Saccharomyces cerevisiae S288C: one gene and its partners. Changing the gene in region 4 together with the main gene of any one other region gives a genetic interaction. Each region holds a gene or a part of one and is shown on either strand. Other genes may lie near its edges.

What was found.
Region 1: mutations in CRC1 (region 4) and LAM1 together harm fitness more than expected from each alone (negative genetic interaction), as found in Saccharomyces cerevisiae (2 studies listed by BioGRID).
Region 2: mutations in CRC1 (region 4) and JJJ3 together harm fitness more than expected from each alone (negative genetic interaction), as found in Saccharomyces cerevisiae (2 studies listed by BioGRID).
Region 3: mutations in CRC1 (region 4) and MPC3 impair growth when combined (synthetic growth defect), as found in Saccharomyces cerevisiae (2 studies listed by BioGRID, with this or other methods).

What each region holds. Positions count from the first base shown.
Region 1 is NC_001140.6:404,047-413,151, reverse strand, and holds LAM1 (Lam1p), read right to left. Parts: upstream 6,050-9,105; coding exon 2,363-6,049; downstream 1-2,362. Other genes in the region: REC104 (Rec104p), read right to left, coding at 1-245; U5 snRNP complex subunit LIN1, read left to right, coding at 746-1,768; RTT107 (Rtt107p), read right to left, coding at 6,974-9,105. UniProt on the Saccharomyces cerevisiae protein: Involved in mitochondrial fragmentation during programmed cell death in response to high levels of alpha-factor mating pheromone or the drug amiodarone. May be involved in sterol transfer between intracellular membranes.
Region 2 is NC_001142.9:608,959-614,703, forward strand, and holds JJJ3 (Jjj3p), read left to right. Parts: upstream 1-3,454; coding exon 3,455-3,973; downstream 3,974-5,745. Other genes in the region: SFC1 (Sfc1p), read left to right, coding at 815-1,783; YJR096W (aldo-keto reductase superfamily protein), read left to right, coding at 2,237-3,085; YJR098C (uncharacterized protein), read right to left, coding at 4,228-5,745.
Region 3 is NC_001139.9:974,219-979,927, forward strand, and holds MPC3 (mitochondrial pyruvate carrier), read left to right. Parts: upstream 1-3,117; coding exon 3,118-3,558; downstream 3,559-5,709. Other genes in the region: YGR240C-A (uncharacterized protein), read right to left, coding at 359-559; YAP1802 (Yap1802p), read right to left, coding at 657-2,363; LSC2 (succinate--CoA ligase (GDP-forming) subunit beta), read right to left, coding at 3,818-5,101; SDA1 (Sda1p), read right to left, coding at 5,547-5,709. UniProt on the Saccharomyces cerevisiae protein: Mediates the uptake of pyruvate into mitochondria.
Region 4 is NC_001147.6:512,750-515,934, reverse strand, and holds CRC1 (carnitine:acyl carnitine antiporter), read left to right. Parts: upstream 1-1,656; coding exon 1,657-2,640; downstream 2,641-3,185. Other genes in the region: Ras family GTPase RAS1, read right to left, coding at 1-691; alpha-1,2-mannosyltransferase KTR1, read right to left, coding at 2,929-3,185. UniProt on the Saccharomyces cerevisiae protein: Transports carnitine, acetylcarnitine, propionylcarnitine and to a much lower extent medium- and long-chain acylcarnitines.

The DNA of each region.
Region 1 (9,105 bases), on a different chromosome or scaffold from region 4:
GTTGCAGATTTCTTAAAGGAATTGCTTAAGAGGTACGTTGAAGCTGTTCGTTTTAACCCAGGCTTAGGATAGTTTGTCCATGACATGATACAATTTACTGCCTTATCAAATTCATCTTTATTTATCCTTTTTACGGTCTTGTTATTTAACCCAAATTGAATGCTAACCCTTTCAGTTACAAAGTATTGGTGAAGAAAGTCTTGCGTACATGTGATCTTATTTGTATCTTCCTCCTCGATGGACATGTTGTCCAAGTTGCTGTATGTTCTTTTCTTCAGCAGTTTGTTTTCTTATACAAAAGATATATTTTATTTGGTATAGCGGAAAATAGCCGCCAAATATTGTGCGTCAAAGTTGAAGAAACATAAAGTTTAACACTACTGGTTTATGAAAGAAAAGACTACATTTGTAAGCCTACTCCAAATTGACCTTTGAATAAGTGTGGCTTACTCTATTAGCTAAAGGACATTATCACTCATCACCATGAACATTCAGTAGTAACATAAAAGTCCCTGCCTTGTTTGTGAATGAGGGTCCCTTCCTTTACATTCTACCAACATAGTCTCCTTTTCTTCCATTTATGCCCTAATAATCGATTTTAATTACTTAATGGGTAAGTTTCTCTGACTAGATTAAAAGAAGCGCATCCGAACAAATTGGAATGACCATGCTAAGCTGCCTTTTAAAGAACAAGGGAAAACTTTGATAAAAACACTCAAGTGCACCATATTGTTTGTAGAAGGATATGAAATATACGCAATACCCGAACAGCTCAAAACTGAAAAGAAATAGTGATCGACGTGAACACGACGAAAAGCTTAGCGATGAGTTACATAATCAAAGTACGATATATGAAGATGAAGAGCTAAGCAGGGCAGAATATGATTCTGATTCTGATTCTAGCGTTGAAGATTCTACAGATAATGAAAATAGTGGGAAAGAAATGGATGAAAAATCCTATGAAAAAAATGAAGATCACGTCGAAGACCATAGAAAGCGAAAGAAATCGAAAATTCAGCTTTTGGATATTGCAGAGTTCAAGAAAGAAAACTTAGCCGACTTAGATTATCAGATCGGTAATTCAGAGAGCAAGGTAGAAAAAGGTGTGAATATAGAGCCATTTAATATAGATGACGAAATAAAACATGGGGTATTCGATAAAGATGGGAATTATATTAAGACAGAAAACGCCACAGAAAATGATCAACAAGATAATGAGGAATGGATGAATGATGTCATAAATACAGAGGAGGTAAATCGCTTAGAAAAGGAACAAAGTGTCAAAACGCAGAATTCGAGACATTATATGGTCCACGAAGCATTAAATCTTTTGAAATTTTTTCTTGTTGATGAGAATGAAACAGTACTGGAATCCTTGGGCAGGTTAAACAAGCTGCGAAAAATTGCCATTTCAAAAAAGAACAAATCATTGAAATATGTTATTCACGGAATCGAGCTATTATCTGATTTGATCAATATACTAGAAAAAAAGGGATTCAGTGAAGTATATGAATATAACCGCTTAAAAGTTCAGGATGCTATAGAAGAGGAAATTTTCGATGACTCCTCCAGAATAGTTAACCATAAAACAAAGTTATGGGGCTTCAAGTGGTTGAACAAATTAGATGAATATCACGGCCTGTACACGAACTATGAAATGTCTTATTGGCAAAAATCCTACTTCAAAAACAGTGTTATAGTAAAATTTCACAGCGAACCAGATCGAGATGAAAACTGGATACATGTATCGTGTTTAAGTTTCATGTAAGATATAAAAGTTGAAATTATTCAAGAGAATTGCCTGCGAGACTATATAGTACTAAGTTTATTGTTTGGTCAGATAAATTGATGAATGTTGGATAGGAAATTTTTATCAATCATATCAAAAGATCTGAGTGAGCTGAGAAGGTTATCATCATATAACAAATAAACAGGACTATATTATTGGCAGACAAAAAATGAGTATCACAAGTGTACAAGGAAACCAGGACAGTAAACCTACTGTCGCAAATTTCCTCTATCCACCTGGCGCGTAAGAATCACCTGATAAAGATATCGTTGAAAGCATCGACCTAGACATTTTTAAGCTGCCATAAATTGGGCTGATAAATTTGTGATATTTTTCTCCAACTGTTTATGGTCTCTTATATACTTTGCGAAATTCTAGAAAAACGAAAAGGTGAAAAAAAGAAACCCGGAAAGGGCGAAAAAAAAAAGTACTTAGGGTTAGCACCACAATTATATAAAATGCTATGTATTTTACAATATAATCATGAGCCAAGAAATAAAAAAAGTTCACCCATTCTATTAGACAAGACGGGGTCCTTCTGATTATTGAAGAGTAGACATTCTGGGGCACTATTCAGACTGGAATGGCAGATAATCTGTTGTACTCTGCAAAACATGCCATACAATAATCTTGTAGTTTGGTATCGTTTATCCATAAATCAAAGATTTCATTCTGAGTGGTGATGCATTTGTCTCTTTCTGTTATTATGAATTTTCTGTAACTTCCCTGTACGAGTTCCTTTTCCGTATTTTGTAGAATTTTTAATTCCGTCAGCACTTGGTTTCGTTTAATTGCAATTTCTTGCCTTGTTCCTTTGTACTGGTATGCATTTTTGTCTTCGTCAAATCTCTTGAATACTGGATTTTCCTGGTCATTATCCATCATTTTTCTTGTAAGTAGGTTCAAATCAGGCACTGTCAAAGACCGATGCATGATTTGAAGTCCTCGCTGATCACCATTGGCATAGTTCTGAAATAGGGTTTCGGCTGACTTTACGGAGAAATATGAATGAATAGATTTACCAACAAAGAACAAATTGGTTACCGCAGATATCAAAAGACAATAGTATAAAGTTTTGTTAACTTTTGAAAAACATTTGAAGATAACCATTACCATTGCCAGTAAAACTTTCATGGTCTTAATGATGACACTGCTTAAATAAAACACGGTCAATTTTGTAAAAATTTTTGAAAGAGACAGAAAATCATAATTGATATATACAGGTTGCATGAAATCGCCGGCCTTTTCATCGTTTTCTATTCTTTCCTTTGGTAAAACACCAAGGAATCCACACAATTTAATAACATCACTCATTTTTTCTCTATCGTTGAATTTTTTTAGATATTCCCTCGTCTTTCTGTTAATTTCAGAATGTTCAAGTTTACAATATCTCAATGCCCAGTTGAGGTGTATTCTTTCAAAAAGCCATAGTTTTTCAACTTTGGTATTCAACTTATCAATAGATTCAACATAGTTGAAGTCATATAGTATTGCCAGGTCACATTTTTTGAGGGACTCTCCTTGAGAGGTGATACATTCTGCAATTATGAACCTCACACGAAGGAGTAAGGGATGGCATAGCGGAAATTTCACAATAATGGGACCTTCTTCCACCTCAAAATAATAACCTTGTTTTATTTTTGTCACACGCTGCTGAAGAACTAATTTGAAGTTGTCATTGTCATCCTTCAACCATAATAGATCTTTGATAAAATTAGAAGTTCGATTCAGTTGAAACTGTAACTTACGGCAAAGTTCAAATTGACAACTTGCATCTTCTTTCGCGCGCCTAATGCGCTCCCAGTATGAATTGTTATTCAAGTTACTGCCCTTCTTACAAAGAAATAGTGAACTTGGAAAAACTTGAGATTTGTCTCCAAAAAGAACGTGGAATAGCGTCTTGCTTCCGACTTTAAAATTGTCTTGAAAGTAGCACCAGGCTTCCCTTTCTAAACGGAGTTTCCTGCTCATTAATTCCATAGGCGTTTCGTTAGTATTCTCAAAATGATGGTCATACGTGCTCTTCAATAGATAATCATAATCTTTTGAATAATGTTCTGATTCTGACAAATTATCTTTGATGATTTTTTTTTCGTTCTCAATCTCTTCGTCTAATTCCTGGAAAATTTCTAAAACCTCTTTTTCGCCCTTTGGGATATGCATTGCCTTATTTTCTATCAGAAATTGTAACTTTGAGGCAACTGCTCTTCGATCTGTAAAAAAGACGGACATATTAAACCTGAGTCCATCGCCTCTTTGCATGTGCAGCATTCTTGAAGAAACATGTTTTGGGCTTTTATCATATTCGATTGAGTCGATATCTAGTAAATCTATTCTTCTCAAATATGAAAAGCCTGAAATATTTAAATAGACATAAATGTGGTTAAGGGTAACAAAAGCCATAGATGCAAATTTTTGTTTATTGTTCGGGCACCACACCGATGAATATCTTAAAAGAACAAGTTCTTTTGGGACTTGTAAAAAATCATGATTCACTGAAAAGAAAATTGATCTAAATTGTATATCATCGACTTTCAGGCTGTATGGATAATAGTCGGGGTAGCTAACGGAAAACCTGGAAGAATTCGATACTGTGGCTGGCTTGTGTACTGAACTTCCTTTGAGTGGATTGACTAAATAGGACAAATCATTCCAATTTGCCGTACCCCAGGTGTTTGCCTGGGTAGCACACGGATAATAATTTGATACAGATAGAAATGTAGAGAATAAAGCCAAATGAGTCAACTGCGTGGCTATCGGTGTAGAAATTACTCTCAGATGGTATGCCTTATTATCAATGATAGAGTATATATCATCCTCTGACATATAATTTTTTTTTAGCTCTTCTACCAATGTCAAAGTTTTACTGGAAAATGAAGTTAATAATTTATCTGTTGACGTTGAGCTACTTGAAGCAAACTCGAAAAATTGAGGTTCAATTTTTTTTCTCGCCAATTGATAACGAGGATCGTTTTCCTCCTTTATCGACAATGCGATTCTTTTGTGAGAAGTTAAGGTGTTTATCCACGATTTTAACTCGTCAATACTTTCAGCTTGCAGGATGATATCTATGTATGTATTTTCTTCTTCTGTTTTGCAATTTGGATTTTGAATCCTCAATTTGAAACAAAAATTTCTAGGTTCTTTGGGCAGATATTCTACAGTTATCCATAATATACCGAATTTATCGGTTTCTTCGACATAAGTTTTGCTAGGCGACAGTGAAAAAACTCCAAAAACATTGTTCTGTAGAAAGCACCATCTTCTTACCCACACAACTCTTTTCGGATCATGACCAACTGTAGTTTTCATGTACAACCAACCCGATAGCCCTTTTTCCTCAGAATTATTTCCGTTACTTATCGATTTTGGAAGGTTAAACTTCAAATTTTGTATGCTTTTCAAATCATAGTCTTGTATCAGGCGAGATGGCTTCATTCTTGCCAAGCTGAGCTTCAGAATGGCATACTTAGCTTCAGATAGCTTGGATGACAATGCTTGTAAAGTCTGAAGGTTACTTTCTATCCAATCGGTCCAATCCTTTAATGTTTCCGTAAGTTCGGGAGTAATGTCGATAACGTCCTTGGTGTCCTTGGTAGTAATAACGTTATTTTTGCGCACAATGTCTATTGTCTCTATCAGGAATTTATCCAAATTAACTTTCATTAACGAAATAGCCTCAGTCAAATCCAAGGAAGCTTCTATATATTTGTGTTTAATATCGACTAATTTGAATGTTTCATTTTGCAGATTTTGTGGAATTAAAGTATTGCCATCATTAGTGGCCGCTAAAAAGTCAGTTAAAAACGAATCATACTTCCTTTGGTAGTATTCAAAAGTTTTTCTCTTGTTGAAGTAAGGGTTAATAGCATCAGAGCTCAAAGCAGACAATGCCGCAGTGTATTGTGAGTTTTCATCACCTAAAATTATTTTCATAACCGTATTTGAAAGGTCACTGACATCTCTAGTAAAGTCTCTTACAAGCAAGGGAGTATATGGCTGGTTACTGACAAATCCATTGGAGAGTAATATAGGAGAAGGGAGCAGCTGTGAAAATAGTGTTTCCTTTATTCTTTGGAAGTCTTGGAACGAAGGCTTGTACGTATTTTCTACATAATCCACAGTACTGTGCATCCAACTACTCAGAGATTCCATTCTGGTATGGAAATAATTGACAGAAGCTCTAAAAGAGGGGGAATCGGTGGATGCTTCGTTAAGTGCAACGGTTATTAGCCGTAGCTCCGCTTTGTGTTCATGCATTATAAAATTGTTCTACAATGACCAATACCAAAGCTATAGAAGTGAAAAACTTGAAATTGGCAGTACTAAATCGAAGAACAGACCATCAGCTTCTGTCACCCTAGTTTTCACTACAATAAATGAAAGCTTCGCGAATAATACCTACAGCCCTTTCTTATTCACCAAATTTTCAGAGTGTTCTCTTCAAAGTTCGGGTAATAGGTGATTTATCTTCACTCATATTGAGACGATACAATACGCACGAGGATAATAAGCCCAAACTCAAAATTATGCATCATACCGTAATGTTTCCCATTTAACCCAATTTTATCTCTCATCCGCTCCACATATATGTATCTTGGTACTGTTCGCATGTAAACATTATTTAAGATTTCTGACGTAAATCTATGGATGTAACCTGTTTAATTATTAGATCAAAAAGTTCTTACTAACGTTAGTAGTTGGCTTGAGCCATTAAATTTTGCGTCATTAACATTGCGGATACTCTCGTAATAATATACCTAAAATACACTAGGTTTGGAACATTGTTCTTGACGCATTGAGTAGAAGGGCTCTCCGCTGTGTGAATATCTCAGAGTGGAAAATTGTACAATAGAGTTGCTTTACGCATTCTGGCCATGAATCTGTTTTTATCCATGAAATTGTAGAAAAATTAAAAGGTTTGCGGATAAAGTGTGGAATAAATGATTCTACTCACGGTACTATTTGACCCTTTGTATCCTATATTAGAAATGCTTTATTAAACAATCTAATTCAAAGACAGTACCAAATAATTGTTTCTAACTAGACATTTAAAATGGTCTGTTAATCATATGTGGGTTGTTTGTTGAACATAAGATTTTCTACAACGCATCTTTATAATTATTATATATTTATTTGTTATCAGTGTCGTATGTCAGATGACGTAATATATAGTGTCCATTTTTAGTTATTTTTCTTTTGATACAAAACATTTTTCTTTGATGTAAAATCAACATTGAGATGAAAAATTGATTCAACACACCAATTCCATTCAACAATCAAAATTGTTTCGTTTTTATCACGATCATTAATCAGTTTGGTAAATTTTTTAACCTGTGAAGCTTTGGTGACGATAAGTACGTATTTAAAAATGCCTCCGTTTTCCTGCTTAGAAACGTCATTTGGGATTATGTCTTCAAATGTGCATTTCTTACTACGTAAAACGTTGATTTTTTCGATACCATGTGCCTTTAGAACAGAGCCTATTGTATCTACACCACCCGGTATATCATTGACTAAGTTAATGCATCTAATATTCGCTCTTTCGAACACCTTAGTAGGTAGTTTGGTTTTTGATATTATACTCTCATTAATTCCATTTATCTCATAATCAAACAAGTTTATATTTATTTGAGAAAGTTTATCTTTTTTAGAATGAATTTGTTTCAGTAAATCAATAATAAATTCAGGTTTCAATGCGAATTTTAACGGTTCAAAACTTAAGCTTTTTAAAAATTTCTCGGTTCTCAAAATCTTTGGAGCAAAAATACAATTCAATTTATCCGTTTCTTTAATATTGTCAAAAATTTTTATACCTAGTTGGTTCAATATTTCGATGTCAACCTCATTAAATCCATCATGGAAACAACCGGTGCAAACCGCTTTTAGGTCATAATTTGGTAGTTCATTAAATCTAGCTAATATCTTTTCCGCTTTAGTAGCCAGTTCTTTGTTATTATTTGACCTTTCAACATCTTGGGACAATGAAATCTCCTCGCTATCAATTCTCTTCCTTTTAAAGTTTTTCTGAAATTCATTTAATGATTCAATATCTGTATGCAATCTCTTCGCAGCTTGTGTCTTTGCTAACCTTGAATTGCCACTTGATGGCATAAAAACTTGCGTTTGCGCGGTGGTTGGAGTATCAACGCCACTCGTAATATTTTGAGACGTCTTGGGTGTGGTATATTTGGAATTAACTGCCGGTTTTTCGTCATTAATGTGATCATCATTATCAGATAATCCTTCAAACAAATGCGAGAATTTATCTGTATCTTTTTTAGAAGTGACGTCTTCCGTAGAAATCAGTTTTCCTGTACTTTCCTCCCCTTGCTTTTCATTCGTCATTTGATCTACTTCAATGTGACATTCATTGGTTTCTTTCTCCTTTTCATTTTTCTTCGAAGTTTTGATCTCTCGTTTAGTTCGTTGTCCTAGCTGAACTTGCAGCTCCGTTTCTTCCTCTTCTTTTTTATAATCTATGTCATTCTTCTTGCGTGACTGTTCCCTTATTTCTTGTTTCTTAGGTGCATCATACTCCGTAATAGGTTTCGTAAACTCCTTTTCTTCTCTTTTTTCATGTCCTTCACAGAAAACCTCTGTTTCCATACTAATATCTGAGTTTGAGTCTTTCTTTTGTAAATTAGATTTTTTACTGTCAACTACTGGAAAACTTGCCCTTGAAGGTCTGGAAACAAAACTCCGTTCTAAATCTCCAGAATGGGTTACAGCCACCTCTCCTGATATTTTTTGTAATTTGTCAATCTTTTCATCAATTGAGTTCTCAAAACTACTAATGGGCGTACCATCTTTCTTTGATAATACATTGGTGTTATCGTTAATTTGATCCATTTGATCATTTGTGGGAGGCGGCTTCTCTGATATGGATTGCGTGTCGTAAGTCACCATCGATAGGTTTTTTGGAGTTGGGAGAGATGAATGATCCATTCCTATTTGGCCGATATTCCATCCCATGTTATCATCCAATTTAAAATTTTGAAATCTACTGTCTTTGGGGTTTAACTTGGAATTATTCATATAACATTGCTCTAACCACATATGATTTGTCACAATAATGGCATTTTGCGGGTCCAGTGACCATTTTTTTGCGACTTTGAATTTTTTGCCAATTGTACTCTTCGTGATCAAGTGTGTGTTTTTTCTTGTTAGTTCAGGTGTGCTAAGTCCTCCTAATATTTCTACTAACCTCTGAATATAAAACCTTTGGGAGCCGAAATAATTAGTGTACGCGACTGTTAATTCCTTAGAAGTAAATAATTTCGCATGAAATGGTTGGTGAATAAGTTTACATTGCG
Region 2 (5,745 bases), on a different chromosome or scaffold from region 4:
CAACGAACTGTAAAAAAGAAACTTTAGCATAATTATTGCGGATATTTAAACTCACTTGCAGGTAAGAGCAAAAGGCGATTGATTTCCAGTCCGCCTCTTGTCACGTGATTTAGTAAGAAATTTTGACAGCACCCTCGGTTTAATGGAAAAGAGGGGCGTTTTTCGATGAACCCGAGGGGAGACTAGAGAATCATCTCGGTTGAATGGAGCATTATTTTTTTAGTAGCGCCCGCCCGGAGAAATGGACGTTGGCGAATGAGCCATGAATTATTAACCGCCCATGTCTACCAGATACCACATCGTATGACAGTACCAGCCTAGTCCCGGTAAACCGCAAACGGACCTTAATTGTGACGAAGGGCCCAAATTTGATGGGTCGGTGTTAATGATTAGTCCTCATTGTCATAATAAAGTGTGATGATGGAGGCAATGATGATATACGGTAGTACTACTGCTCGAGGTGCTATCTTTTAACCAATCCTTTGAGATTCTTGTCGCCACGGAGTTACTACCTTTTACAAACCGTAATGTCACATTTTGCATATATCTTATGTATAAATATATAGTTCACTTACTACTTGTTCTCGTTTTGTTAACTTTCTTGTTGTAGTTCTTCTTGTTCTTGGCGTTTCCCCCTTTGTTTTCTATCTGCTTCATAAGTAAAGTGCAAAGCATTTTGGAAGATATTATCAATTGAGTCATTGAAAGAAACTTGGCATCTTCCCTATTACTAAAACTAAGAATACTTGATTCAAGAAAGAAGTTTATATTAGTTTTAGCCGTAAGATAACATAACAAAGAAGAAGAAAGAAAAATGTCTCAAAAAAAGAAGGCTTCCCATCCAGCCATCAATCTCATGGCTGGCGGCACAGCAGGTTTATTTGAAGCATTGTGTTGTCATCCTTTAGATACAATTAAGGTGAGAATGCAAATATACAGACGGGTAGCTGGTATTGAACATGTTAAACCCCCAGGATTTATTAAAACTGGGCGTACCATTTATCAAAAAGAAGGTTTCTTGGCTCTGTATAAAGGTCTAGGTGCTGTGGTCATCGGTATTATACCTAAGATGGCAATCCGTTTCTCGTCTTATGAATTCTATAGAACCTTATTGGTTAACAAGGAATCAGGAATTGTGTCTACCGGTAATACTTTTGTTGCTGGTGTTGGGGCTGGTATCACCGAAGCTGTTCTTGTCGTGAACCCGATGGAAGTTGTAAAGATTAGGTTACAAGCTCAGCATTTAACTCCGAGTGAGCCAAATGCTGGTCCTAAATATAACAACGCCATTCATGCAGCCTACACTATTGTCAAAGAAGAAGGTGTTTCTGCCTTATATAGAGGCGTTTCCTTAACTGCGGCAAGGCAAGCAACTAATCAGGGTGCTAACTTCACAGTTTATTCTAAACTGAAGGAGTTTTTGCAGAATTACCATCAGATGGATGTCCTACCTTCATGGGAAACTTCTTGCATAGGTTTGATTTCGGGTGCTATTGGGCCGTTTTCCAACGCTCCATTGGATACTATAAAGACAAGGCTGCAAAAGGATAAGTCCATCTCATTGGAAAAACAGTCCGGTATGAAGAAAATCATAACCATTGGTGCTCAACTACTGAAAGAAGAAGGTTTTAGAGCTTTGTACAAGGGTATTACCCCAAGAGTGATGAGGGTGGCTCCAGGTCAGGCTGTCACCTTTACCGTTTATGAATATGTAAGGGAGCATTTAGAAAATTTGGGTATATTCAAGAAGAATGACACACCAAAGCCAAAGCCATTAAAGTAGATGATGAACAATGGGACTACAAAATGAAATAAAGAAAAAATAGAAATAGGCTAGAAGATCAATTATTAATCGCCCTATTCTTCCTTATTACCTACACAAAATAAAGCAGCAACATAAGAAACAAAAACAAAATGAAAACAAACCAAATAAATCTATGTAAGCATACTCATTTCAATTTGATATTCATTACTTGACTTTTTTGTCCTTATTTGAGGCTCCATAAGCGCGCCATTTTTCCCTACTCCCTTTTTTCGTAAATAGTAATAATGTGCTGAAAAGAACAATGAAGTAGTTATCATACATATTCCGTCGTGTCGATATGAGGGGAGGTGTCTCTTTCTTTCATCCCTTGTCGCAACCTCCAATATATAAGAGCATAAGCAACTGATCTTACTTTAGTAATTAACTTAGCATACCTAGCCCGAAGGAAGAAAAAAAATTCACCTCAACAACATGGTTCCTAAGTTTTACAAACTTTCAAACGGCTTCAAAATCCCAAGCATTGCTTTGGGAACCTACGATATTCCAAGATCGCAAACAGCCGAAATTGTGTATGAAGGTGTCAAGTGCGGCTACCGTCATTTCGATACTGCTGTTCTTTATGGTAATGAGAAGGAAGTTGGCGATGGTATCATTAAATGGTTGAACGAAGATCCAGGGAACCATAAACGTGAGGAAATCTTCTACACTACTAAATTATGGAATTCGCAAAACGGATATAAAAGAGCTAAAGCTGCCATTCGGCAATGTTTGAATGAAGTCTCGGGCTTGCAATACATCGATCTTCTTTTGATTCATTCGCCACTGGAAGGTTCTAAATTAAGGTTGGAAACTTGGCGCGCCATGCAAGAAGCGGTTGATGAAGGATTGGTTAAGTCTATAGGGGTTTCCAACTATGGGAAAAAGCACATTGATGAACTTTTGAACTGGCCAGAACTGAAGCACAAGCCAGTGGTCAACCAAATCGAGATATCACCTTGGATTATGAGACAAGAATTAGCAGATTACTGTAAATCTAAAGGTCTCGTCGTCGAAGCCTTTGCCCCATTGTGTCACGGCTACAAAATGACTAATCCAGATTTATTAAAAGTTTGCAAAGAGGTGGACCGTAATCCAGGTCAAGTTTTGATTCGTTGGTCTTTACAACACGGTTATTTACCACTACCGAAGACTAAAACTGTGAAGAGGTTAGAAGGTAACCTTGCAGCCTACAACTTTGAACTGTCAGACGAACAGATGAAATTTCTTGATCATCCTGATGCTTATGAGCCTACCGATTGGGAATGCACAGACGCGCCATAAAAAGAAAATGCGAACCGTAGAATAACGTATATAGAACATATAATTAGTTTACGTTTCACAAAGTATTAATATTACATGTAGCTTTTTCAGGACTTTCGATCTAAATCAAAGATTAAAGGAGCTGCTAGAGGTAGAAAAGGAAATCATTGACTTTTCTTGAAGATTTATGAGCGGGTAACTGGAGATGGAAATTTTCAGAAAAATTGTAAATGGATGCGATGACTTCGATGTGACGTTACTAGTCTTACCATTGTAAAAACCACTATCGGTGCCAAAAGATAAGCGCAATCAACTAAGAAATTTACCACGCTCTTTGTATTGTATTTATCTCCAATTTAATCTTTCTTTTGGTGTGAAAATTTAGCGAAAATGTCATTGGTGAATTCGTTAACACACTACGAAATTTTAAGAATTCCATCGGATGCAACACAAGATGAAATCAAAAAGGCATATAGGAATCGGTTACTAAATACGCACCCCGATAAACTTTCTAAAAGCATACATGATACGGTTAGCAACGTCACAATCAATAAGATTCAAGATGCTTATAAAATACTATCGAATATAAAAACTCGTCGCGAATATGATAGGTTGATCCTTGAAAACTATAAACGCCAAGGATTTCATAATTGTGGTGATGGGCTGGATGAATTTTCCTTAGACGATTTCTCATTTGATGAAGATAAGCTGGAGTTTATGATGAATTGTCCTCGCTGTCAATTTGTTGGTGGTTTTCATTTTAGTGAGAGTTTGTTAGATGAATGCATTGATAATGTAGACGCTATGGAACGGAGTCATTCTGGTTATCAATTATTAACCCAATGTAGCGCATGCAGCTTATGGCTGAAGGTTAATTTTGACATCGAGGAAGAGCAAGAAGGACAATAATGAAAATGGGAGGGGAAATTGAGCATATCAGATAAATCTGTTTATAGAATTATTATTTTACTTCGTGGGAAATCGAATGGTGTATATAAAAGAGGTTGTAAAATTGACGAAATAAATAGTATTTAGGCAACTAAAGATAAAAAAATATTATTTATTTTTATTCGCGGTGCGTTGCCAGATTTTTTTTGACATGCGGAATTTTGGTAAAAAGAAAAATGCAGATATGAATAGTAAACAAAGGAATAAAAAGCCTTTCATGAAGAAGTTCGTGTTCGAGATCTTCTTCCTTCTTTTTCGCTGTCGACGATAGATATGAATGCTTTTGCCATTGATTTCAAATCCGTCATTAAGCTAACATGACCTGAAGAACTGGCGATTTTACAAACAACTGGAAAGCCTCTCTGTTCAGGCAATAACCATTTATGGTGAACAACACCGTCGCCCGGACCATAGTAAAAATCTTCATAATTCCCATCTTTTATATCTTGTATACCGTTCACTTTAGCACCTCTAACAGTGGGAACCTTGTTACCGTAAACCATGGCCAATGGAGGATATTCTTTGTTCGGGTCGTAATCTAAGCTATCCAAATAATTCTTTGTACGTTTTAAAGTTCTCGCTAAATATTCACAGCTATCTTCATAAGATGTATGGAAGACTTCATCGAAAGGCACATCCCTTGGTACCTGTTTATTATTGCCGGCTACATTCCTAACAACAGGTGCATTTAGGACAAACTTGGTAGTTGCGTTTAGGGTAGCTTTAAGCGAAAGCGCTGATTTCGTTTTCCTTGGTAATAATTTTGATTTTTCGTGAGCTGATTCCTCTCTTTTCTCATTGACGAGAGGTGACAAGCCAAGGGTTTTCCAAACATCTGTATCAAAAAAATCGAAATCATACCTCTCTAAGGTAATTTTGTCAACAAAACATCTACCATCTAACGGTAGAAAATAGAAACTACTTCTCATAAAAAAGTTGGTTTCTTTAGTGAAAATAGTTTTATTCCACATCACATCATCTCCAAACCTAATAGGACCTAAAATATTTGGACATTGGCTTGGGGAACCCACGTAAATAATACCTCTTATCAAATGAGTACAGTCTTGCAACACTTTATGTGCGACCAATCCGCCCATTGAATGGGCAATGATGTATATTCCCTTCTTATTTTTTTGCTTATTGTAAATTTCCTCTAGTTTAGTCGTTAAATGCTTGGCAGATATGTCCAAGGATAATCTCCAATCATAGCCAAACTGCTGAACATTTAAATTAGGATTTGCGTCTAGCCTCTTTATCAACCTCTTAGAGATATCAACAGGCCCTATATGTGTTAGCATTCCATCAGGGACAATCTCCTTCTGAGTTTTAAGTTCATCTTCGTCATTAGGTCCGATCAATAAATCGACTTTCGTCATATTCAAACCTGCCTTTAATGGGATCCAAATTCGCTTATGAGTAGTAGCATCCCTTAGCACACTACCTCGATATCCACCCATTATAACGACATCTCCTTCCAATTCATTCCATATAGATTCTAAACGCGAACGGTAATATCCGTCATGAGTTTTGTCGAATGGGTCTGCTGTTATTTGCTTAATGGAGTTCTTCAAGGCATCCATTTCCAAAGATTCTTTAACAGCCCTTAACCTTGAATTATCAATGCCCCTTTCGTATTTAAATAATTCTATCTCTTCCAAGGAAGAAATGGAGGTTGATTTTTTCAGTTTTTGCTTGATCTCATTCTTTCTTAGATTCTTTTTGATGAACTCATC
Region 3 (5,709 bases), on a different chromosome or scaffold from region 4:
CATCCTTATATTTTTCAAAGGTTGATGCAAGTCGATCTCAAATCGGATAACGCTGCCAACTGGGAAATTCCGCAATTCCGCAAGAAAAAAAAAAATGTGAAAACGTGATTGCATTTTTTACAGGTCCTAAAGGATTTAGCCCACATATCAAGAGGGTGGCAGTAATTGCACTGATTAAGCATTCGTCAGCATTAGGCGAATGTGTGCATGAATATTGCCAGTGTGCTCGATATTAGAGAGTACATTGAAGAATATTGTACCGGATTATGTACAATAACTTTGTTAATGAGATATTAATTTTCTTTTTTACTAGCCGCTATCCCATGCACGATGCTAAATTTCAAGAAGAAACTGAGATTTAAAAAATTAGTGGAAGCTGATAAAACGGACTATAATGGTGTATGGATTGAGGAATCTCGACATGTTTTTCCATCGTTTTCAACGATGACTGTAACCCGTAGATTGAACCAGGCATGCCAAAGTTAGTTAGATCAGGGTAAAAATTATAGATGAGGTTATATGTATGGTACGTAAAATTTACATGTTTGGATAGTATCATAAAATATAGAAAGGTGGAAGGGATTACCTAAAAATCAGAGTTTATAATATGCAAGGACGGCCTGTTGAGAACAAAAAACTGTAGTATCTATCGCTCACTATATATCTATTAAGTTAGGATTTTCTTGCTGATGCTGCTGTTGTTGCTGTTGTTGATTGATGGGGACAAACGCAGTGGGAACCATAACATACCCTGTTTGCTGACCCTGCATCATTTGTGGTTGCTGCTGCGCACCAGTAGAGGCATACTGAAGTTGACCGGCCACGGGATTCGTCATGTATGTGCCCATTGGTGATGTCACCACGTTTTGAGCCTGAAATGGATTACCTGTTTGACTATGAGCAAGAATCGGGGTGGTTTGTGCTTGTTGGAGGGTAAAAGGATTTGGGGAGTTTTGGAAATTTTGTTGTTGCTGTTCTCTGGCAATATTTTCTAGCGAAAATGGGTTGTTAGACCCCGTTTTTGTTGGATCTAAAGTGCCGGTCATAATTGCATTGTTCTCGGTGGTCGTGTATCCGCCGAACCCTGAGCCGGTGAAATTTGGGGTGTATTGAAGGTTAGAAGCATACATCCCAGTTTGTTGATTATTCAAATTTGGAGTAATCTGTATCTCACTTGGTTGTGGCATTGTAGACGCAGATGTCAACTGTAAAGCCTGTTGCTGTTGTTGCGGTATCAAGAAGGGGTTAGCAGTTGGTTGAGGGACTTGAGCGGTCATTTGTGGCTGGGTTGGTTCGAATGAAAAGGTGTCATTATTTAAATCTTGCTGTTGTGATCCAAATGGGTTGTAAGCATCTTGTGGGACCGTGGGGGAAATGAGCAACTGTTGGTTTTGTAATTGTTGCTCCAGCAGTCTTTTTTGTTCCCTTATCTGTTCCAGTTTCTTCTGCGCTATAGACTTATTCTTGTCATTGCTGTTGTTATTGTGACTACTGGTAGAGCTAATGGCCGTAGATGGTTTTCTATCTTGCTGCGGTTCAGAAGGTTCACCTCTTTGTCTTTTTGTTTCCTCTCTCAAATGCTCCTCAAGGGAGTTAATTAACTTTGTAGTAATATGTTTGATAACGGGGATTTTCAAACCGACAGCTTTTCCTATTTTTAGGTATCTAACAACATATTCTGTCATATCCACGAAATCCTTATAGAGATCCAGTGTTCTTTTTGCGTGCTCAATGGACAATTCGAAGAATGATTCTAAAAGTGTAATGACACCTTCATTAAGAGCATTGTACAGACCTAGTAAATCTTGTACTAACAATTGGAATGCATACAATAACAAATGGTTTTCTAAATCTGAAACAGAGTATTTATTCCTTATCAAGGCATTAATTTGAATTTCCAATGATTCAACATGATCTAGCTCTTCATCCATTGAAAGCTGGTTCTTACTGCCCAGCTTTAGCGAGGAGTAATTGTCTCGTAGGTGATCCATACCTAGCCTGCCATACTCTTCACAACGTGTTTTTAGGTATTCGTCGTATCTCTGCAAAGCCCTCATATCATTGGAAGACCACTTAGTAGTATGCGAAATCTTTCTCAATTGGAAAACATCCAAATTATGGGAATAGTGCCTTAGCGTGACATCTTTTTCGCCTTGTTGTATCATCAGATGCAACACAATCAATGCCTTATAAACAATGGTCCAGGCTGTATCAGACAACCTTATATCCAATGCGTGGGTAATCTCTTGCAATCCTCTTGCGCTCGAAGTGCCCGAGAGAATAGGGTCCACATATTTTTGCTTTGGAGGGGCCATCTTTATTTTGGTCGCCCCTTTAACCAACTTAGTATATAATGAAGACATTGTTTCACAAACACGCCTCTATATCTATTATAGGGGTAGCCGAGACAGTCGCGCTTGTATGCTTGATATTGTTACTCTCGTAGATGTTAGCAAGCGTAGCAAATTGGTACTCCTGCTACAGATTTATTTTTTCTCCTTCTAAAATTATAACTCAAGCAAGAAGCCCTAATAACAAGTTAACCAGACTAATAAGTCGACTTTTTCCTCGAATGTAGAAAAGAAACTTTTCTACGCAGCTGCAAACTTAATCTATCCCTCCACCAAAGCAAAATGAAAACAAAGCCATACTGGGAAAAATCTGAAAAAAAAAATGGTAGGAGTAAAAGAAAAGAAAAAATAAAGGTTACCCTGCAGTTTGGATAGTCGGGTAACATTTGGCCCTTTTCCTCCTTGATTGGATATTATTACCCCGATTACCCCTCATCTTGGGAGTGCCCCGCTTTTATTTCTCCCGCCAATCGGCTATTAACGGCTTTACGTCATTCCGTGGGCGGGTCAAGCGAGCCGCTCCCTGGTTTGGTCACGCAAAACCGAAAGGCTCAAACAAAACTAAGGCCATCATATATATATATGCGGCTGCGTGCGTGTATTCTCCCGGATAATATGGTGCGTTGCAATTGGAGTATTGGAGAAAATTTTCTTTTCCCTTTCATTACGGCGGAAATACTTCATATAAAAAAAAAGAATACAATCAGTCTTTAAGACTATACGCATAAGCATTCAAGACACATAGAAACACAAACCTATATTTTTAATGTCAGCATCAGCTTTTAATTTTGCCTTTAGAAGATTTTGGAATAGTGAAACAGGCCCTAAAACAGTACACTTCTGGGCCCCAACTTTGAAGTGGGGGCTGGTCTTCGCAGGGCTAAATGATATTAAGAGGCCTGTTGAGAAGGTATCAGGAGCACAAAATTTATCTTTATTAGCGACGGCACTGATTTGGACGCGTTGGTCGTTTGTCATCAAGCCCAAGAACTATCTGTTAGCTTCCGTCAATTTTTTCCTGGGTTGCACTGCAGGCTACCATCTAACAAGAATTGCTAACTTTAGGATACGGAACGGTGATTCTTTTAAACAGGTTATTCACTACATAATAAAAGGGGAGACTCCTGCAGCCGTCGCAGCAAAGCAAACTGCATCCACATCGATGAACAAAGGTGTGATCGGTACTAATCCGCCAATAACGCACTGATTACGTAAACGATAATATGTTCCTGAACTCGCATTTTTTTAATGATTTTTTATGACCTCTTATATATTCTTTCATTATATAACCTCTATATTACATCAAAAGATGGAAAAATATAAAAAAATTAAAAAAAAAAAAAAGAAATTTTTTCCAAAAGAGTATATTTATATGTATGTATACATGTAGGGAAAATAAGAAACTTTATTAATAGTAAAAAAGCATATATACTTTATTATTAACTCTTTTGTTTTTCTCGAGAAGCTTAATTTTGGGTCAATTCAACGACCTTTTTAGCAGCAGGATCTAATTCATCAAACGAATAAATCTTCACGCCTGACTTATTGATAATGTCGCGGCCTTCTTCTACTTTGGTACCTTGCAAACGTGCCACAATGGGGACCCTAACTTCTAGTTCTCTGGCGGCTTCTACCAGCCCCAGGGCAACATAGTCACATCTTACGATACCGCCGAAAATATTGACGAAAATTGCATCTACGTTCTTATTGGATAAGATCAATTCGAAACCTTGTTTGATGGTCTCAGGGGTGGCACCACCACCACAATCCAAAAAGTTCGCAGGATCGCCTCCATTTAATTTGATGACATCCATAGTAGCCATAGCCAAACCAGCACCATTGACTAAACATCCAATGTTACCCTTCAACTTAACAAAATTCAAATCATACTTCTTTGCCTTAACTTCATCAGGATCTTCTTGTGATAAGTCCCTCCAGGAATATATCTTTTCCTGTCTGAATGATGCGTTATCATCAAACCCAAATTTGGCGTCTGTACACATGATTTTGTGGGTTGGATCATGTTCAATTTCACTCAAAGGGTTAATCTCCACTTGTGTAGCATCCCTTTCCATGAATATTTTATACAAATTGGAAACAGCTTTTGCTGCCTCGTCTTGTGCATCGGGACTGAAACCGAGACTCTTGGCAACATCCTTGGCCATTTGTGGGCTCAATCCCTTTGAAGTTTCAATTGAAAATTTCTTTATAGCATCTGGGGTTCTCTCAGCCACCTCTTCAATATTCATACCACCTTGACTGGACGCAATGATCATCGGTTTCTTGGTTTGTCTGTCCATTAGAATAGATAAATAAGCTTCATGCTTTGTATCTACTCTTTTCACTATATATACAGCAGATACTGGCTTCCCCGCTATTCCCGTCTGTTTAGTAATCAGGTTATGATTGAGCATTTCTTTTGCAACATCCTCTGCCTGCTGAGGACTTTCGATCATGTGAACACCGCTTTTGTAACCGGTGTCGAAGTGACCTTTACCTCTACCTCCGGTCAATGCCTGCGCCTTGATGACCAGTTTGTTAGTGTTTAATTTCTTGGCTGCTTCGAAAGCCTCTTCGGGAGTGAACGCTGGAAATCCTTCTGGAGTACCAATACCGTATTCCCTCAATAACTGAGCTGACCTGTATTCATGAATTGACAAGTGTCTCCTTGCTTGTAAAGCAGCTTGCGCGTTTAGCCTGCTTAATTGCCCACACTTTGAAATTAGGGATAAGGATTTTCTTGAGTACATTTTGTTCAGTTGCAATGCTTCAGTATTTTTTTCGATTGTATTGACTCAATCCTTATTAATCCTAACTACCTAAAAGTCAGTTACAAAAAAACTGGACTATCGCTCTATAGTCACTGTTATTTTTCGAGAGAAAACGTCAAAGTGCTGATAAGGAAAACGTCGATCTTATATAAAACCTCAAAGATGTTGACTACGCGGCAATTGAAAGGCCAACCAACTTTTAGAATACTCACTCCGCCGCTGCGGGGAAAAGCCGAGAATTCCCGATGAACACATAATCGATACCAGTTGGAGCATTTTTCTCTGTACCAAGACATAAAAAGAGTTTTTTTTAGTATCTACCTGGCTTTGGTGTTCCATTCAAGGTAGAGAAGTCCTCATACAGTTGGAGAGATGAATGTATCTGTGTATATGTATGTATATATTAATATGGCTACGATGTCGTCTAATACCCCTTCTTCTTTTGTTTGGTGATGTGTGCACGTAACACTTTTTGCTTGTCTCGTAGTGACATTTTTTGTTTACCTCTAACAGATCTCTTGTGAATAGACATAACAAAGTTCTTCCTTCTTTCTTTTTCTCTGTTGGTAGTAGAACGCATGTTGTCA
Region 4 (3,185 bases):
CGGCTGACTTTGAACTGGAGCCAGTGCCAGCATTGGTCAAAGAATTATCGAGTACATAAGACCCGTTGTTCTTTTTTTCTCTATCCGCTGTTGCAGATGAGGTTAGCTCCGAATCTCTTATTTCATTCGTATTATCCAGTTGACGATTCATGCTATTGTATTTCCCACCGTCGTCCCTTACCAAACGAATAAGGCTATAAAAGGCCTCGTCTACGTTGATGGCTTGTTTCGCAGACGTTTCTAGAAAGGGTGCATTCAACTGCTTGGCCAGGCGTAACCCGTCTTCATAAGAGACTTGTCTTTCATTTTCAAGGTCCAATTTGTTACCTACCACGACTACAGGAATGTAGTCAGAATCTTTTACTCTTTGAATTTGCTGATAATAAGACAGTAACTCATCAAAGGAATTTCTAGAGGTGACGGAATAGACCAGTAGGAAACCTTCCCCAGTCCTCATGTACTGTTCTCTCATCGCAGAATACTCTTCTTGTCCAGCAGTATCTAGAATGTCCAAAATGGATACTTTGTCATCGATGACAACTTGTTTTCTGTAAGAATCTTCGATAGTAGGGTCATATTCGTCCACAAAGTATGATTGAATGAATTGAATTGTTAAAGCAGATTTACCAACGCCACCTCCACCGACAACTACTATCTTATACTCTCTTATAGTTGATTTATTTCCCTGCATGTCGTTCTAAAAAGGGAAAATTTTGTTTACCTGTTCAATCGTGAAATAGCCAAACCGAAGTCAATTGTGGCAGCAGTTAATTAAGCATTGCAAGAAAGAACAAGACAGATGATAATAGAGACACCGTACAAGAAAGAATCCAAATTAAGAGAACCATACAAAGACATAAAATATAAACCTTTCAATGTAAAACAAAAGGAGGAAAAAACCTGAAAAGCCGTGAAAAATTCATAATCTTGCGATGAGTTGAAAAAGTTTGTTGTCAAATGTCCATAGACTTACATGTAGTAAATATTTTTGGTTTCTTTTTTTTTCTTCGTGCTTTTTTTTTTTCCTACGGGTTTACATTGTGCCAATGTGAATTTCCCCGCCACTCCCTACCGAACGGGTAGCAGCGTAGAACATAGCGATCAAGGGTGTGCTAAGTGAAGAAGCAATTCAGTGCGGGTAATACATATTCCTAGCCTCGTTTGCCGTTACATTGCATTGATGGTACAATAAAGGGCATGCTTTATATCGAGATGTTTCAGTGTATATGAGGGGAAACAGAAAAGAGTCATTCCTGCCATTTTTTGGTCACTGCTTTTTCTGCTATGAGTAATGGTGAAGTTCCTTGTGGCTACACGCTTAATGTCATCGGGTTACTGCTCCTAATATCCGCATATAAGCTTTATGCAGGGATCAGTTGGGCGGCTATTTATCTACACCCAGTCATCCGGCGTGACTGGATCTCCACTTGCCGCAATAAGTCGGTGGACAAATGGAGATTTAAGAGTAAAGATGCATGATGGTATAATTCCTTTAGTCGAAATAGATATATTTCAAGCGCATATATAGGCAGACGCTTGTACTGTAGAAATAGCCGATATTCAATTGCGCTCTATGTGTGTTTTTATTCCAGGTTTTCCTTGGATTCTACGTATTGTACGACTTTCTTATCCTCCACAAACGTCATCGTGTCAGTAATGTCTTCAGACACTTCATTATCAGAATCTTCATTATTGAAAGAAGAGAGTGGGAGCTTGACCAAGTCTCGTCCACCTATAAAATCAAACCCTGTACGCGAAAATATCAAATCATTTGTGGCCGGTGGAGTTGGCGGGGTATGTGCGGTGTTTACGGGTCATCCCTTCGATTTGATTAAAGTGAGATGTCAAAATGGACAAGCGAATTCCACGGTACATGCCATTACAAATATTATAAAAGAAGCAAAAACTCAAGTAAAGGGCACATTATTTACCAATTCCGTAAAGGGGTTCTATAAAGGTGTTATCCCGCCCTTATTAGGTGTTACTCCCATATTCGCTGTTTCTTTCTGGGGTTACGATGTGGGTAAGAAACTGGTTACTTTTAATAACAAGCAAGGAGGCAGTAACGAGTTAACTATGGGACAAATGGCTGCAGCAGGATTTATCAGCGCTATTCCTACCACTTTAGTGACTGCGCCAACGGAAAGAGTAAAGGTTGTCCTGCAAACATCTTCTAAGGGCTCTTTCATTCAGGCGGCTAAAACCATTGTTAAAGAAGGTGGCATAGCTTCTTTATTTAAAGGTTCATTAGCCACTTTAGCAAGAGATGGGCCTGGCTCAGCTCTATATTTTGCATCTTATGAAATTTCAAAAAATTACTTGAATAGTAGGCAACCTCGTCAAGATGCGGGCAAAGATGAACCGGTCAATATCTTGAACGTGTGTCTTGCTGGTGGTATTGCTGGTATGTCGATGTGGCTAGCTGTTTTCCCCATAGACACTATAAAGACAAAATTGCAGGCTTCCTCCACGAGGCAGAATATGCTTTCCGCCACAAAGGAAATTTATCTACAAAGAGGTGGTATCAAGGGATTTTTCCCTGGTTTAGGTCCTGCTTTACTAAGATCTTTCCCAGCCAATGCGGCCACATTTTTAGGTGTGGAGATGACTCATTCACTGTTCAAGAAGTATGGCATATGATTAAATTTTTGTTAGGTGGACCTGCCTCCCATTTTTTTCTGGCATTCCTTTTGGGAACTTTTTGTTATTTTTTGGTTCTGCAATTTCGTTCAGTGTATGGTAGAAAATATCAGTTGGGTTATCCCGGTTTCCTTGGCGTTGTTGTCGAAGCGTTCATATTTGTAACGCAATGGAGTAAATATAAATGTGATATGTAAAAAAAAGAGTTATAATTTATTCTGTTTCTTTAAATAGTATAAATAAAAAAAGTGGAAAATACAAAGACAACGTGGGCTGATTACAGTATAATCAACCGATATGGTTTTGCCAACCAGCAGGCTTTGGCAACTTGTTTATATTGTAGAATTTAGTAGTACATGAATAACTGTGCCATGTGAAATCTTTGCTTGGATCACAGTCACATTTGTTAGCCAGTCTGATACTTGTGTCTATTGGACAGGAGTGAAATGGAACATGGTAATAACCAATATCACCGAAGTGATGGATTTCAGAGCGGTCCAAGAACAGCGCAGCACCAATAGAATGAACTGGAGCATCACCCCATC